Canis lupus familiaris: one gene and its partners. The protein of the gene in region 1 interacts with the protein of each later gene in a pairwise test. Links are inferred from orthologs where the notes say so. Each region holds a gene or a part of one and is shown in the gene's direction. Other genes may lie near its edges.

Evidence for each region.
Region 2: the proteins of THAP1 (region 1) and GPATCH2L interact in binary tests that used the Homo sapiens proteins (3 or more experiments, as listed by UniProt). The two-hybrid records come from large-scale screens. The link is inferred for Canis lupus familiaris from reciprocal best matches to the Homo sapiens genes THAP1 and GPATCH2L.
Region 3: the proteins of THAP1 (region 1) and tripartite motif-containing protein 26 interact in binary tests that used the Homo sapiens proteins (3 or more experiments, as listed by UniProt). The two-hybrid records come from large-scale screens. The link is inferred for Canis lupus familiaris from reciprocal best matches to the Homo sapiens genes THAP1 and TRIM26.

What each region holds. Positions count from the first base shown.
Region 1 is NC_049237.1:23,681,916-23,685,560, forward strand, and holds part of THAP1 (THAP domain-containing protein 1), read left to right. Parts: intron 1-2,163; coding exon 2,164-2,538; 3' UTR 2,539-3,645. UniProt on the Homo sapiens protein: DNA-binding transcription regulator that regulates endothelial cell proliferation and G1/S cell-cycle progression.
Region 2 is NC_049229.1:49,414,618-49,418,767, forward strand, and holds the start of GPATCH2L (G patch domain-containing protein 2-like), read left to right. Parts: upstream 1-1,314; 5' UTR 1,315-1,435; intron 1,436-1,602; exon of another isoform or gene 1,603-1,619; intron 1,620-1,874; exon of another isoform or gene 1,875-2,086; intron 2,087-3,845; 5' UTR 3,846-3,855; coding exon 3,856-4,150.
Region 3 is NC_049256.1:27,898,614-27,902,985, reverse strand, and holds the start of tripartite motif-containing protein 26, read left to right. Parts: upstream 1-1,536; 5' UTR 1,537-1,781; intron 1,782-1,914; exon of another isoform or gene 1,915-2,097; intron 2,098-2,771; exon of another isoform or gene 2,772-2,919; intron 2,920-4,372. Other genes in the region: U1 small nuclear ribonucleoprotein C, read left to right, coding at 646-1,125.

The sequences.
Region 1 (3,645 bases):
GCTGAGCACAGAGCCCCCCATGTGGCCCCCCTTCATAGCCTTGAGATCATGACCTAAGCCAAAATCAAAAGTGGGACACTTATCTGACTAAGCCACCCAGGCACCCCAGCACTAGGTTGCATTATAATTTTGTTGATGGTTTCCTGCACAGTGCAAAAGCTTTTTGTTTTGGTATAGTACCAATTGTTTATTTTGCTTTTGTTTTCCTTGCCTGAGAAGACACATCTAGAAGAATGTCTCTAAGGCTGATGTCAGAGAAATTACTATGTTTTCTTTTAGGATATTTATGGTCTCAGGTCTCCCAGTTAAGTTTTTGTTGGTGTTTTTTTGTTTTGTTTTGTTTTGTTTTTTTAAGATTTCATTTATTCATGAGAGACATAGCGAGAGAGGCAGGCTCCATGCAAGGAGCCTGATGTAGGACTTGATCCCAGGATCACGCCCTGAGCCAAAGGCAGATGCTCAACTGCTGAGCTACCCTGGCGTCCCTCCCATTTAAGTTTTTAATCCATTTTGAGTTTAGTGTTGTATATGGTGTAAAAAAAAAAAGTCCAGTTTCTTTTTTTTTTTTTCATGTAACTGTACAGTTTCTCCAGCACCATTTATTGAAGAGTCTTTTACCTAATAGATATTCTTATTTCCTCTGTTGTAGATTAATTAATTAACCATATAAGCATGGGTTTATTTCTGGGCTTTCTGTTCTATTCCATGGACCTATGTGTCTTGTTTTTGTGCCACTTTTGATTACTACAGCTTTGTAGTATATCTCAAAATTGGGATTATGATACCTCCCGCTTTGTTGTTTCTCAAGTGTGCTTTGGCTGTTTGGAGTCTTTTGTGGGTTCTGTACAAAATTTTAACATTATTTGTTCTAGTTCTGTGAAAAATGTTGTTGGTATTTTCATAGGGATTGCATTGAGCCTATAGATTGCTTTGGGTAGTATGGACATTTTAACAATGTTAATTCTTCCAGTCCATAAAAATGATATATCTTTCCATTTATTTGTGTCATCTTCAATTTGTTTCATCAGTGTTCTGTAGTTTTTAGAGCATAGGTCTTTCACCTCAGTTAAATTTATTCCTAGGTGTTTCATTCTTTTTGGTGTAATTATAAATGGAATTATTTTCTTAATTTCTCTTCCTGCTACTTCATTATTAGTGTATAGAAACACAACTGATTTCCATATATTAATTTTGTATCCTGCAACTTTACTTATTACCTCTAATAGTTTTTTGTTGCAGTCTTTAGCATTTTCTTTGTATAGTATCATGTCATCTGCAAATAGTGATAGTTTTACTTCTTTCTTACCAATTTGGATGCCTTTTATTTCTTTTTCTTGTCTGACTGCTATGGCTCGGACTTACAGTACTATGTTGAATGAAAATAGCAAGAGTGGACATCTTGTCTTGCTTTTGATCTTAGAGGAAAAACTCTCAGTTTTCACTACTGAGTGTAATGTTAGCTGTGGGTTTTTCATATATGGCCTTTATTATTTTGAGGTATTTTCCCTCTAAGCCAGCTTTTTTGAGACTTTGTCATTGAAAGGATGTTGAATTTTGTCAAATGCTTTTTCTGCATTTATTGAGATGATCGTGTGATTTTTACCCTTTGTTAATGTAGTGTTTCATATTGATTTATGAATATTGAACCATCCTTGCATCCCTGGAATAAATCCCACCTGATAGTGGTGAATGATCCTTTTAGTGTATTGTTGAGTGTTTAATGTATTGTCAAATATGCCTGTATTTTTGTTGAGGATTTTTGCATCTTTGTTCATCAGGGATTTTGGCCTGTAGTTTTCTTCAGTGTCTTTGTTTTTGGTATTAGGGTATTGTTCACCTAACAGAATGTATTTGGAAGCTTTCCTTTCTCTTCTGTCTTTTAGAATATTTTGAGGAGAATAGGTATTAACTCTTTAAGTGTTTGATAGAATCACCATCTGGTCCTGGACTTTTTTGATTACCTTTTCAATTTCATTACTAGTGATTGGTTTATTTATACTTTCTATTTCTTCCTGTTTTGGAAGAGTGTGTGTTTCTAAAAATTTAACCTTTTCTTCTAGGTTGTCCAACTTATAAAAATGTCATTCTTAAATTCCACAGGGGTTCTTTTAAATTGTTATTTGTAGTTACTAAACTTGAACCTACTTTGCATTATTGTTGTAGAAGGAAGATCTTCTGGAGCCACAAGAACAGCTTCCCCCACCTCCTTTAACACCTCCCATTTCCCAGGTTGATGCTGCTATTGGATTACTAATGCCTCCTCTTCAGACCCCTGATAATCTCTCAGTTTTCTGTGACCACAACTATACTGTGGAGGATACAATGCACCAGAGAAAAAGGATTCATCAGCTAGAACAACAAGTTGAAAAACTCCGAAAGAAGCTCAAGACTGCACAGCAGAGATGCAGAAGACAAGAACGACAGCTTGAAAAATTAAAGGAGGTTGTTCACTTCCAGAAAGAGAAGGACGACATATCAGAAAGAGGTTATGTGATTTTGCCGAATGACTATTTTGAAATAGTTGAAGTGCCAGCATAAAAAAAAAAAGATATTTGTATTGGCTTTTAATGGGGCAACACCACACATCCTCTTCTAGCCTATAAAGGAGTTTCATTTGAAAAAATAACACTTGATTACTTGTATAAAAACAATTCAGAATATTTTTTTAAATAAATTAGATATATACTGTAAAATTGTAAAATTTTTGTTTCTAATTTCAGGGTTTTTACATTTTAACAAAATATCTTAAAAGTTAAAGACTAACCTCAGAACTCCAATATAAGTTGGTTTCAAATTGAGGAGTTTTGTTTTTTGGGTATTTATAGAAATGTAAAAATGAGAAATAAAGTGAATGTGAACAGTATAACAAGGACAATTTAAGTTTAAAATTTAAAATTAATGCAGGTTATTAAAGGAATTTAGTTACATTGTAAGTCAGAAGTATAGGTCAGATCACGAGATGTAACTTCTCAGAAAATATATATATTCTTATTCACATATTCTTATTTGTAAAGTCAGAAGATTTATCTTTCTTAATCACTTATCAAAAATAAGTTGACAAGTCAAAACTTCAAAAAATAAATTGGTTATCTTCAGAGCAGAAAATGAAGAGTCATTCTATACCTAGTCAATGTAGGTAAATAAGGATGAATCATTCTTTAAAAGTGGGTCTGCCTTTTTTCCCCACTAACATTATTAAACCAGAAGTGTATTTCCAGTGGAAGAGACATTCTTCAATAAAGTAGGCATTGTTATTAAACAAGTAATAAAAATGGGGGCCTGATCCATAGTATGCCTTTTTCTTTCATTACCCCCAAGCTTAAGGAGCATCTAGTTCCCAACTGTTGTTATATCTGTATACAAATCTCTAACAAATGTGTTGTGTCAGTAGAGTTTGATTTCTACTGTAATATGACCAATTGATTTTGGTCACATCTTCACATAAAAAAGGATTTCTTCACTTTTAACACAAGTTAGAAATTATATCCCATTTATTTAACCGAGTGATTTGTATTCCAAAGCAACCTAATATGTAGTGTTTGTTATTGAACGTTGAGATTTAAACACTGAAGTTTCTGTTCAAACTATGAGTTGTGTTCTGACGTGAGAAGTTTTAGTTATATATTTGAAATGAAAATATGTTCT
Region 2 (4,150 bases), on another chromosome or scaffold:
ATTCCTGTTGTAGGATTTTTTTTTCTAATCTTCTCATCTCTCTCTCCTATTTCCAATTTTTCTTCAGAAAAAAATTCCCTAGAGGCAGAATTTCGGGGTCAAAAGGTATGTGCATTTTAAAAAAATGACCTTATTTTAGACTAGTTTTAGGTATGCAGAAAAATTACAAAGGTGCTACTACAGACCATTCCTGTCTACATCATACCCAGTTTCCCCTATTATTAACATCTTACATTGATATAGAACATTTGTCACAATTAATGAACCAACACTGAGATAATATTATTAACTGAAGTCCATTGTTCATCCAAGTTTCCTTAGTTTTTACCCAATGTCCTTTTCCTGTTCCAGTCTCCCATCTAGGATACCACACTACATTTAGCTGTCACATTTCCTTAGGCTCCTGTTGGCTATGACAACTTCTCAGACTTTGCTTGACTTTTTTCCTTTAACAATTTTGAGGAATATTGGTCAAGCATTCTGTACAATGTCCCCCAGTTGGAGTTGTTGGATTTTTTTTTTCTCTTGATTAGAGTGGGCGTACTGGAAGGAAAGTATCTTAGACATAAAATGCCACTTCCATCATGTCATATCCAGCCTACATAGGGTCCACATGATTTATCACTGTTCATGTTAACCTTGGTCACCTGGCTGAGGTAGTGCTTGTCTAATTTCTCCACCATACTCATTTCCCCACCTTCCATACACACAGCCCACATTCAAGGAGCTGGGAGTTATACTTCAGGGTGAATTATCTACATAAATTCTTCACAATTCTTCTGCACCAGAGATTTATCCCCCTTCCCCATTTATTACTTTGTTCATGTCAGTATTCATCTCATTAGTTTACTCATGTCAGTACAGACTCATGGGTATCAATTGTATACTTAAGATTTATAATCCAATAGTACCTGCCTTGTTGCTCGAGGCATTTGTACCTGTAAGACTGATTCACTGCAAAGGTACCGGCTTATAGTTGGACCCACTCTCACAGTTAAGAATGAGGATGCATTTCTCAATTTCACACACCCTTTGTAAAAGTAGGTCAGCAAACAAGGGCGAGGCCGTGGTCCCTCCCTACTGCCCAATGTCTTGACGTCCCCAAGGCAGGTGAGGCCAGCCTGGGGAGGGCTGATCTGCCCCAGGCGCGGACCTCGCCCCTTAGCGCGCCCGCCCGCCCGGAACCACCGCCCCTTGAGGCCCCCAGCCCCCGCTCCCGGCGTCTCCAAGGCCCCGCCCACCGCGGGGCGGAAGTGGGCGCGGCCACGGACCGGAAGCGCCGGGCGGGGGCGGGCCCTCTAGAGCAGCCAGCCCCTCCCACTCCACCGCTGCCCCACCCCTCCGGCCCAGACCGGAAATGAGGTCAGAAAGGGAAACCCCGGCGGGGAGACTCGGCCCCAAAAGCGGCGGCCATTGGAGGTGGCTGCGGCAGCTGGTGAGGGGGCGGAGTGGGTCGAGAGGGTCGGGGTCCAGGGGGCCGGCGCCAGCGGGGATCGGGGCTCCGGGCGGAGGCCGGGGCGGGGGCCGTGGCCGCCGCGGGGCTCCGGAGGTTGGCGGGAGGGGCGGGGGTGGCTGGGCCTTGTTTTCCAGGGCCCATCGCCCCCATCCCGGGGAGTGAGGTTCGGGCGTCTCCGGGGCGGCAGTCCCCTCTTCTCCTTTATTCTTTCTGGCTCTTTTGGGCAGGCCGACAGGGTGTGAGCTCCGTGTCCCAAGCCGCGTTCGCTTTCGTCTTCGGGGGCGGGCCGGGGCGTGGGGGGGGGGGGTCCTTCCAACCCAGCTCTTCCTCACATATGTGGCCATGTTGCGACCCTGGGTCACGGAGGGAGCGTAGTCGCCACCACTTGCTTTTTTTTTTTTTTTTTTTTTTTTGGCAGTTTGTGCCGGAGAAGGGCCGACCCCCCTGCCCGGGTGAGCCCAAATGAGAAGTTGCTTCCTGCCGCCCCCCGGCCTTCGCCGCGACCGTGCGCCTGCCTCTTTTTACTCCTCTCCGTCTCCCGGCCTTGTGTTTGCGTGACTTAGCCTTTCCTCTCCTCGAGAGCTAGCTGGACAAGGGGGTCGTCTTGGAGCGCGCACCTGAGGACTGAAGGTGTGCGAAGCTCAGGGTAGTGTCCCCAGCTCTTGGAATTGCAGCCCTTCGGCTAGGAAGGGATTTTTGCTCAAACAGCTGCAAGTTCTGTAACTTTGTTCCACGTTAAAGTGTACAGTTCTTTTTTTTTTTTTAAGATTTTTATTTATTTATTCATGAAAGGCACAGAGAGAGACAGAGGCAGAGACACAGGCCGAGGGAGAAGCAGGCTCCATGCAGGGAGCCCGACGTGGGACTCGATCCCGGGTCCCCAGGATCACGCCCTGGGCTGAAGGTGGTGCTAAACCACTGAGCCAACCCAGGGGTCCCCCAAAGCGTACAGTTCTGCCCCATTTTTTAAAGCATTATTTCTTTATTAAGGAAGTAGGTTTGGATGTGCCGTCCCCACATCTGTTTTGGTTTCAGGGGTAGTTGTCTCCCAAACCCCATTCAGGGCGTTTTAGGCTGACTTTGTATTGAGTAAAGGGACAGTGGTCATTTTGTGTTGTGTGGCTTTTGACACGATGAGACGTTTTGTGTGGTTGGTAGTTTTGGAACTAGGTGTCCCCACGGCTCCCGTCCATGTGGCAGATAAGCCAGCCCACCAGTTTTTCTTGCCTTTGAATTCGTTGGCATGGGGACAGCGAGAAAATAGGTTTTAGAAAGCCCTTTGCAGAATGTAAGCTGCATGAACGGAAATAGGGCCTCCGAGTGGCGCCACACAGTTTTAAATTCTAGTTATGGACTTGAAATACTCTAGGCTTCACAAGGGCTAGGGAAGAGGTGTTAATTTAATACGTATTTAATAAGGTGTTGTACAAATTATATTGGACATTTCCCTCTTAAAGGGCGTTTTGAAAATTGCTCCTACTGCCCGCATCCCTTGGAAGGTTTGCCTCTGAAGTGACCCCTGATGTATGACGGTTTGACAAGAATGAATGCAAAAATAGAATTTAGAAAGCAGTTAGCTAGAAATTTTAGGGACTCCATCAATCCCTGTCATTTCAGCCTTAGCTATATCCTCTTTTTGTGTGATTGATACTAAAGCACATAATTAGGATGATCACTTAATTTTCTGAAGGTTGGGAGAAGAACTTAGAAGTTGCTAATTGTTAAAAAATATACAATATATCCGATAAATTTCCTTTACTCCTAGCTTCCAGGTGGTAGTTGGGACCAGAATAGATACAGACTTAGTCTCTTTTTTCCATTCAGAATACAAATCTGGGTTACTACAATTTCTTGGATCACTAAAACTGCAAGCAGTGATCCTTAAAGTGTGTTACTAAGTTGTCTTTCTCCTCTCTTTAGCAGCATTCTTATCAGGGACCCCAGACCATGGAGCAGTTCTTTAACCATGATTTTAAAGTTGTGTGTTTTTCTGTTCCTGTCTAATGAGACTTTCTCTAATCTTTTTGGATTTTATCATCAGATATTTTAGTGACAAATTTAATTGGGGAAAAAGGGAAGGGGCGATTTATTTCCCAAGGTTTGCTTGTTTTTGCTAGTATTTTACTTGTGATCTGGTGAGAGTTTGCTTTCTTGTGCTTTAAGAACATATTGACTTGAGGTTCCTAACAAGGGCCAAACACCTATTTTTAGTGGCTTAAGGGAGCAAGGATGGTAGGAACAATCTTAAGTGTAGCCAGTTGAAAGGTGATTTTATTTTCTGTAAGTCAGGTAGGCTCTGCAGTCTTGTGATGTATTTTATAAACTTACCTTAAAACAACAGATCCTATTCAGGTTTTCTTTTTCTTTTTCTGAACTTTTCTTTGGGCAGATGTGGCCTCATGGATGAGCTGGTACATGACTTAGCCTCAGCATTGGAGCAGACATCTGAGCAGAATAAGCTTGGTGAGCTGTGGGAGGAGATGGCTCTGAGCCCTCGGCAGCAGAGGCGGCAGCTTCGCAAAAGGAGAGGCCGGAAGCGCCGTTCAGACTTCACTCACCTGGCAGAGCATACCTGCTGCTACAGTGAGGCCTCTGAGTCAAGTCTCGATGAGGCCATTAAGGACTGTCGAGAATTGGCCCCTGTTGCCAATTTTAGTGACTCTGATGACACAATGGTAGCCAAACGGCACCCAG
Region 3 (4,372 bases), on another chromosome or scaffold:
AGGAAAGATGGAAGCTGGTGGTTCATGCAGACGAGGCAGTGATACGCCAACAGAAGTCTCAGGATGAGCAGTTGAGATTTTGCCAAAATCAAGATGCCAGTGATGGCAAGCTCTGGCTCACCATTTTGTGATTATGATCTGAAGGTGCACCTGCAACGTTCATAGCAGCCATGTCCATAATAGCCAAACTGCAAGCAGCCACAAGGTCCTTTGACAGATGAATGGAAAAAGATGTGGTATATATACAACGGATATTACTCAGGTATCAGAAAGGATGAATACCTACCATTTACATGGACATGAATGGAACTGGAGGATATGATACTGAATGAAATAAGTCAGTTGAAGAAAGACAACTATCATATGGTTTCACTCATATTTGGAAAATAAGAAACAAAACAGGATCATAGAAAAAGGAGGGAAAAATGAAATAAGATAAAATCAGAGAGGGAGACAAACCTTAAAAGAGTCTTAATCACAGGAAACAAACTGAAGGTCGTTGTAAGGGAGGGGGTCAGGAGATGGGTCACTGGGGGATGGACATGAAGGAGGGCACGATGGGAGGAGCACTGGGGTTATATAAAACCTTGGCACAGTCATTTCCGGGCGGCGCGGGACGGAGTGGCCAACGGCCTGCAGAGCAACATGCCTAAGTTTTATTGTGACTACTGCGACACATACCTCACCCATGACTCTCCATCTGTGAGAAAGACACACTGCAGTGGTAGGAAACACAAAGAGAATGTGAAAGACTACTATCAGAAATGGATGGAAGAGCAGGCTCAGAGCCTGATCGACAAAACAACTGCTGCATTTCAACAAGGAAAGATACCTCCTACTCCATTCTCTGCTCCTCCTCCTGCAGGGGCAATGATCCCACCTCCCCCCAGTCTCCCGGGTCCTCCTCGCCCTGGTATGATGCCAGCCCCCCATATGGGGGGCCCTCCCATGATGCCAATGATGGGCCCTCCTCCTCCTGGGATGATGCCAGTGGGACCTGCTCCTGGAATGAGGCCACCTATGGGAGGCCATATGCCAATGATGCCTGGGCCCCCAATGATGAGACCTCCTGCTCGTCCCATGATGGTGCCCACTCGGCCAGGAATGACTCGACCAGACAGATAAGGAGAGACAGGAACCTCTTTATATTCATTTTATATTACTTGTTCTACTTCACCAGGAGATCATGGTGCTGTGACTCTGGGTGTTTTCTAACAGCATGACAAGGAAGACTTGCTTCCCCTTCCTATTGAGAATAGTTTTTGCAGGGGAGTAGTGAGACAAAAAAAAAGGCAATTTTCATTTGTATTGTGAAATGTGAAAATAAAATTGTCAACTGTTTTAGTTAAAAAAAAAAAAAAAAAAAAAAAAAAATAAAACCTTGGCACATGCATGAATAAAGTGAAAGGGAACGATGCCTGATGGGGAGCTGATTTACAGTGGCATAGGAAGATGCATCTAGATGCCAGTTGAGGAGAGTGACCAATGGGCAGCCAGTAAGGAGCTGGGACCCAGTGTTCCGTGGCCGAGGGGTTGAGGCCGAGGGGGAGGGAGAAGTGGCTCACAGAGATAAGCAGGGCCCTGGTGTGCCTCTGCCTGGGCTAGGGAGATAGCAAGGCCAAGGCCCTGGACTGCTGCAGGACGTACAGCATGGCCTCAGAATGGGGCAAGCACCCTCCAGGGAAGGGAGAGATCAGATCCGCAGGCTGGGAATCACACGCTTGCTTCCATACCAACAAGTAAAAGAGCAGGTGCTCAGACCGCCGGCGTCGAGTCCGTAGGTGAGGTCCCCACCCCTCCTCCGCAGAGTTGGAAGCAAGGGAGAGAAGCCGGGCGGGGTTGGGGGTGAGGCGGGGCGGTGGAGGCGGGGGTGGGGGCGGGGGCGGGGACGAGGACGCCGGCCGAAGTGTAGGCGGAAGGCGGTGGCACGCCCCACCCTCTCCACTGCACCCTTGAAGCCACTGCTTTCGCTTCGAATTCCTGCCCCACCCCGCAGGAGGGGCGGGGGCCCGGCGGGTTCTAGGGCTCGAGACCCCGAACCCGCTCTCTGGCCCCCGCCGCACCTGGACCCCCGACCACCCCGAGGGCCCGGAGCAGGTGAGTGTCTGGCGCCCAGCCCCGCCCCACGGGCTTCCGACCCCGCGCGGCCTGGGAGCGCCTGGTCTGAGGATGGCGGCCGGGATGCGCCGGGTCGCCGGAGACCCCCACGGCAACGGTGGGGGACCCGAGTGCCCCAGTGCGGCCACGAGGAGGGAGAGAGCCGCAGCGCGTGGGGCCCAGCTCTTGCAACCTCTGCTTTCCTTTCTGTGCAATGGGCACAATAGTGCTGCCCTGTTTCGGGGTGTTTTAGGGAAAGCTCCTCGGCCATCGCAGGCGCTTCGGAAACGGTCGTGAGTTTTTGCAAATACCCCCCTCTCCGCGAGTACGTGCTTGCGAAAGACCTTCCGGGTTCAGGAAGCAAAATGAGGCCACGTTGGGGGCAGGGAGCCCTACTTCATGCGGAGCCTCTGGCGCGCCCCCGTCGGCCGCAGGCCCCCGCCCACCCGGACCCATCCAGGCAGGGGGCGGGCCGGGGGGGGCCGGGGGCGCCAGCCTGGGGGTCTGGCCCCGGGGCCCAACTAGGCCTTCGCGGGAGCGCGCCCCGCCCGCCCGCCCGCGGATTCGTCCGTTCGGCCCCGGCCGCCCCGCCCCCTGCGGAGGCCCGCGGATTTGCCTGGTGATCGGTGACGTAGTGCCCGTCTCGAGCTGCCATTGGGCGGTGGCGTGCGGACTCGGCCAATCGGGACGCGGATCCGGGAGAAATCTCGGAGCGGACCTCGGGGAGCCGGGAGGCAGAGCCGAGGGGACGCGACCCCAGCTGGCTGCCGCGGGGGAGCAGCGCCCCCGGCCGGGAGCTCGCGGCCCAGAGCGGGCAGTGCGGTGAGTCGCGGGGCCGGGGGCCGGGGCGGGGCGCTGGGGTTCTGGGCGCCCGCCCTGGCTTCCCCGCCCTGGCTTCCCCGCCCTGACCTTCCCGCCCGGAGCGCCGGCAGGTGTCCGCCGTGCTCAGGGGGCGAGCAGGGCTGGGGCGCGTAGTACCGGGGGCGCCCTCCTGCCTGGGGCCGAGCAGCGCGCGGGAGGCGCACCCTGCAGAGCCCCACTGCCCCCGGCCGTGACCCCCGATGGCCAGGGTCCTCCCGGAACCCGTGGCGCGGCCCGGCCTTGTAGGGGCTGCATGCCGAGCCCCGGGTGCGCTCCCCGCACCGTCTTCAGAACGGGCTGCCTGGGTCTTGTGCCGCGATCCTTCTGAGTAGACTGTTTCTACTTCGGGTTTACGGACAGAATTGCGAGGACAGTAGAGTTCCCCAAGCCCCTTATCCCGTATTACACGTTACCTTACTTCAGACATCTGTCACAGCTAACGAACCCCTGCTGTTGTGTGACTATTGCCGATAGTTGTTGGGATTCACCGAGTTTTCAGCTAGGCACTGGTTCCGTGTCAGGATCCCGGCCAGGTTACCAGGTTCCATGGGGTCAGCATGCCCTCCTATGGTCCCCTTGGCTTGGCACTTCATCCGCTGAGGCTTGTTCTGGGGGATCCTGAGAGTTTGGAGGAATGCTGGTCATGCGGGCTGTGAGATGCCTCTGTCCTGGATGTTCTTCTCCTAAGCCCACCCCAGGTAGGTGGCCCTGCTCCTGGCATGGCAGCAAGGGTACATACTGTCAGCACGGCCTGTGACTGGACACTGGTGGTGGTCACCTGATGTAGTGCTTGCCAGGTGTCTCCACTGTAAAGTTACTCTGTCCCCCCCCCCCCACCCCCCGTTTTCATGCCTACCCTTTGGAGAGAAGTGCCTGTGAAACCCACACCCAAGGAGGGCTAGATTCTCCTTGAGGACAAGTTTTTATGTTTATTATTTGGAATTCTTTGCATGGAGATTAGTCTCTCTTGTCCTTTATTGATTGACTTATTCAGCCCTTTATTATCAGCACATACTCGTGGGTATTGATGTGATACTTTGGGTGATAATCCAATATTACTCTATGCTGTTGCTCATTGCTCAAGTTGTAGCCTTGATGATTGGAAGCTCTTACATGTTGGCTCCATTTCTTCCTAGCATGAGTGTCTGTAGAGCTCTTTGCTGTTGAAAGCACTTGTGGGGCTTCACATGAACCTCACACAGTGTGATGAGCCTGACAAGATATAGTTATTTCTGTCCTTAAGGGGTAAGGACACTGAGGCCCAGGAGCACTGGATGACTTCTTACATGTCAGTTTCCTACATGGGAGCAATGGGCTGGTCTCAGATGAGGGCTGGTCACCCCAGAAAACATTGCAAACCACAGCGGAAGTCCAGAGTCCAAACAGTTTTCTGAGGAGACTTCAGACTTAGACC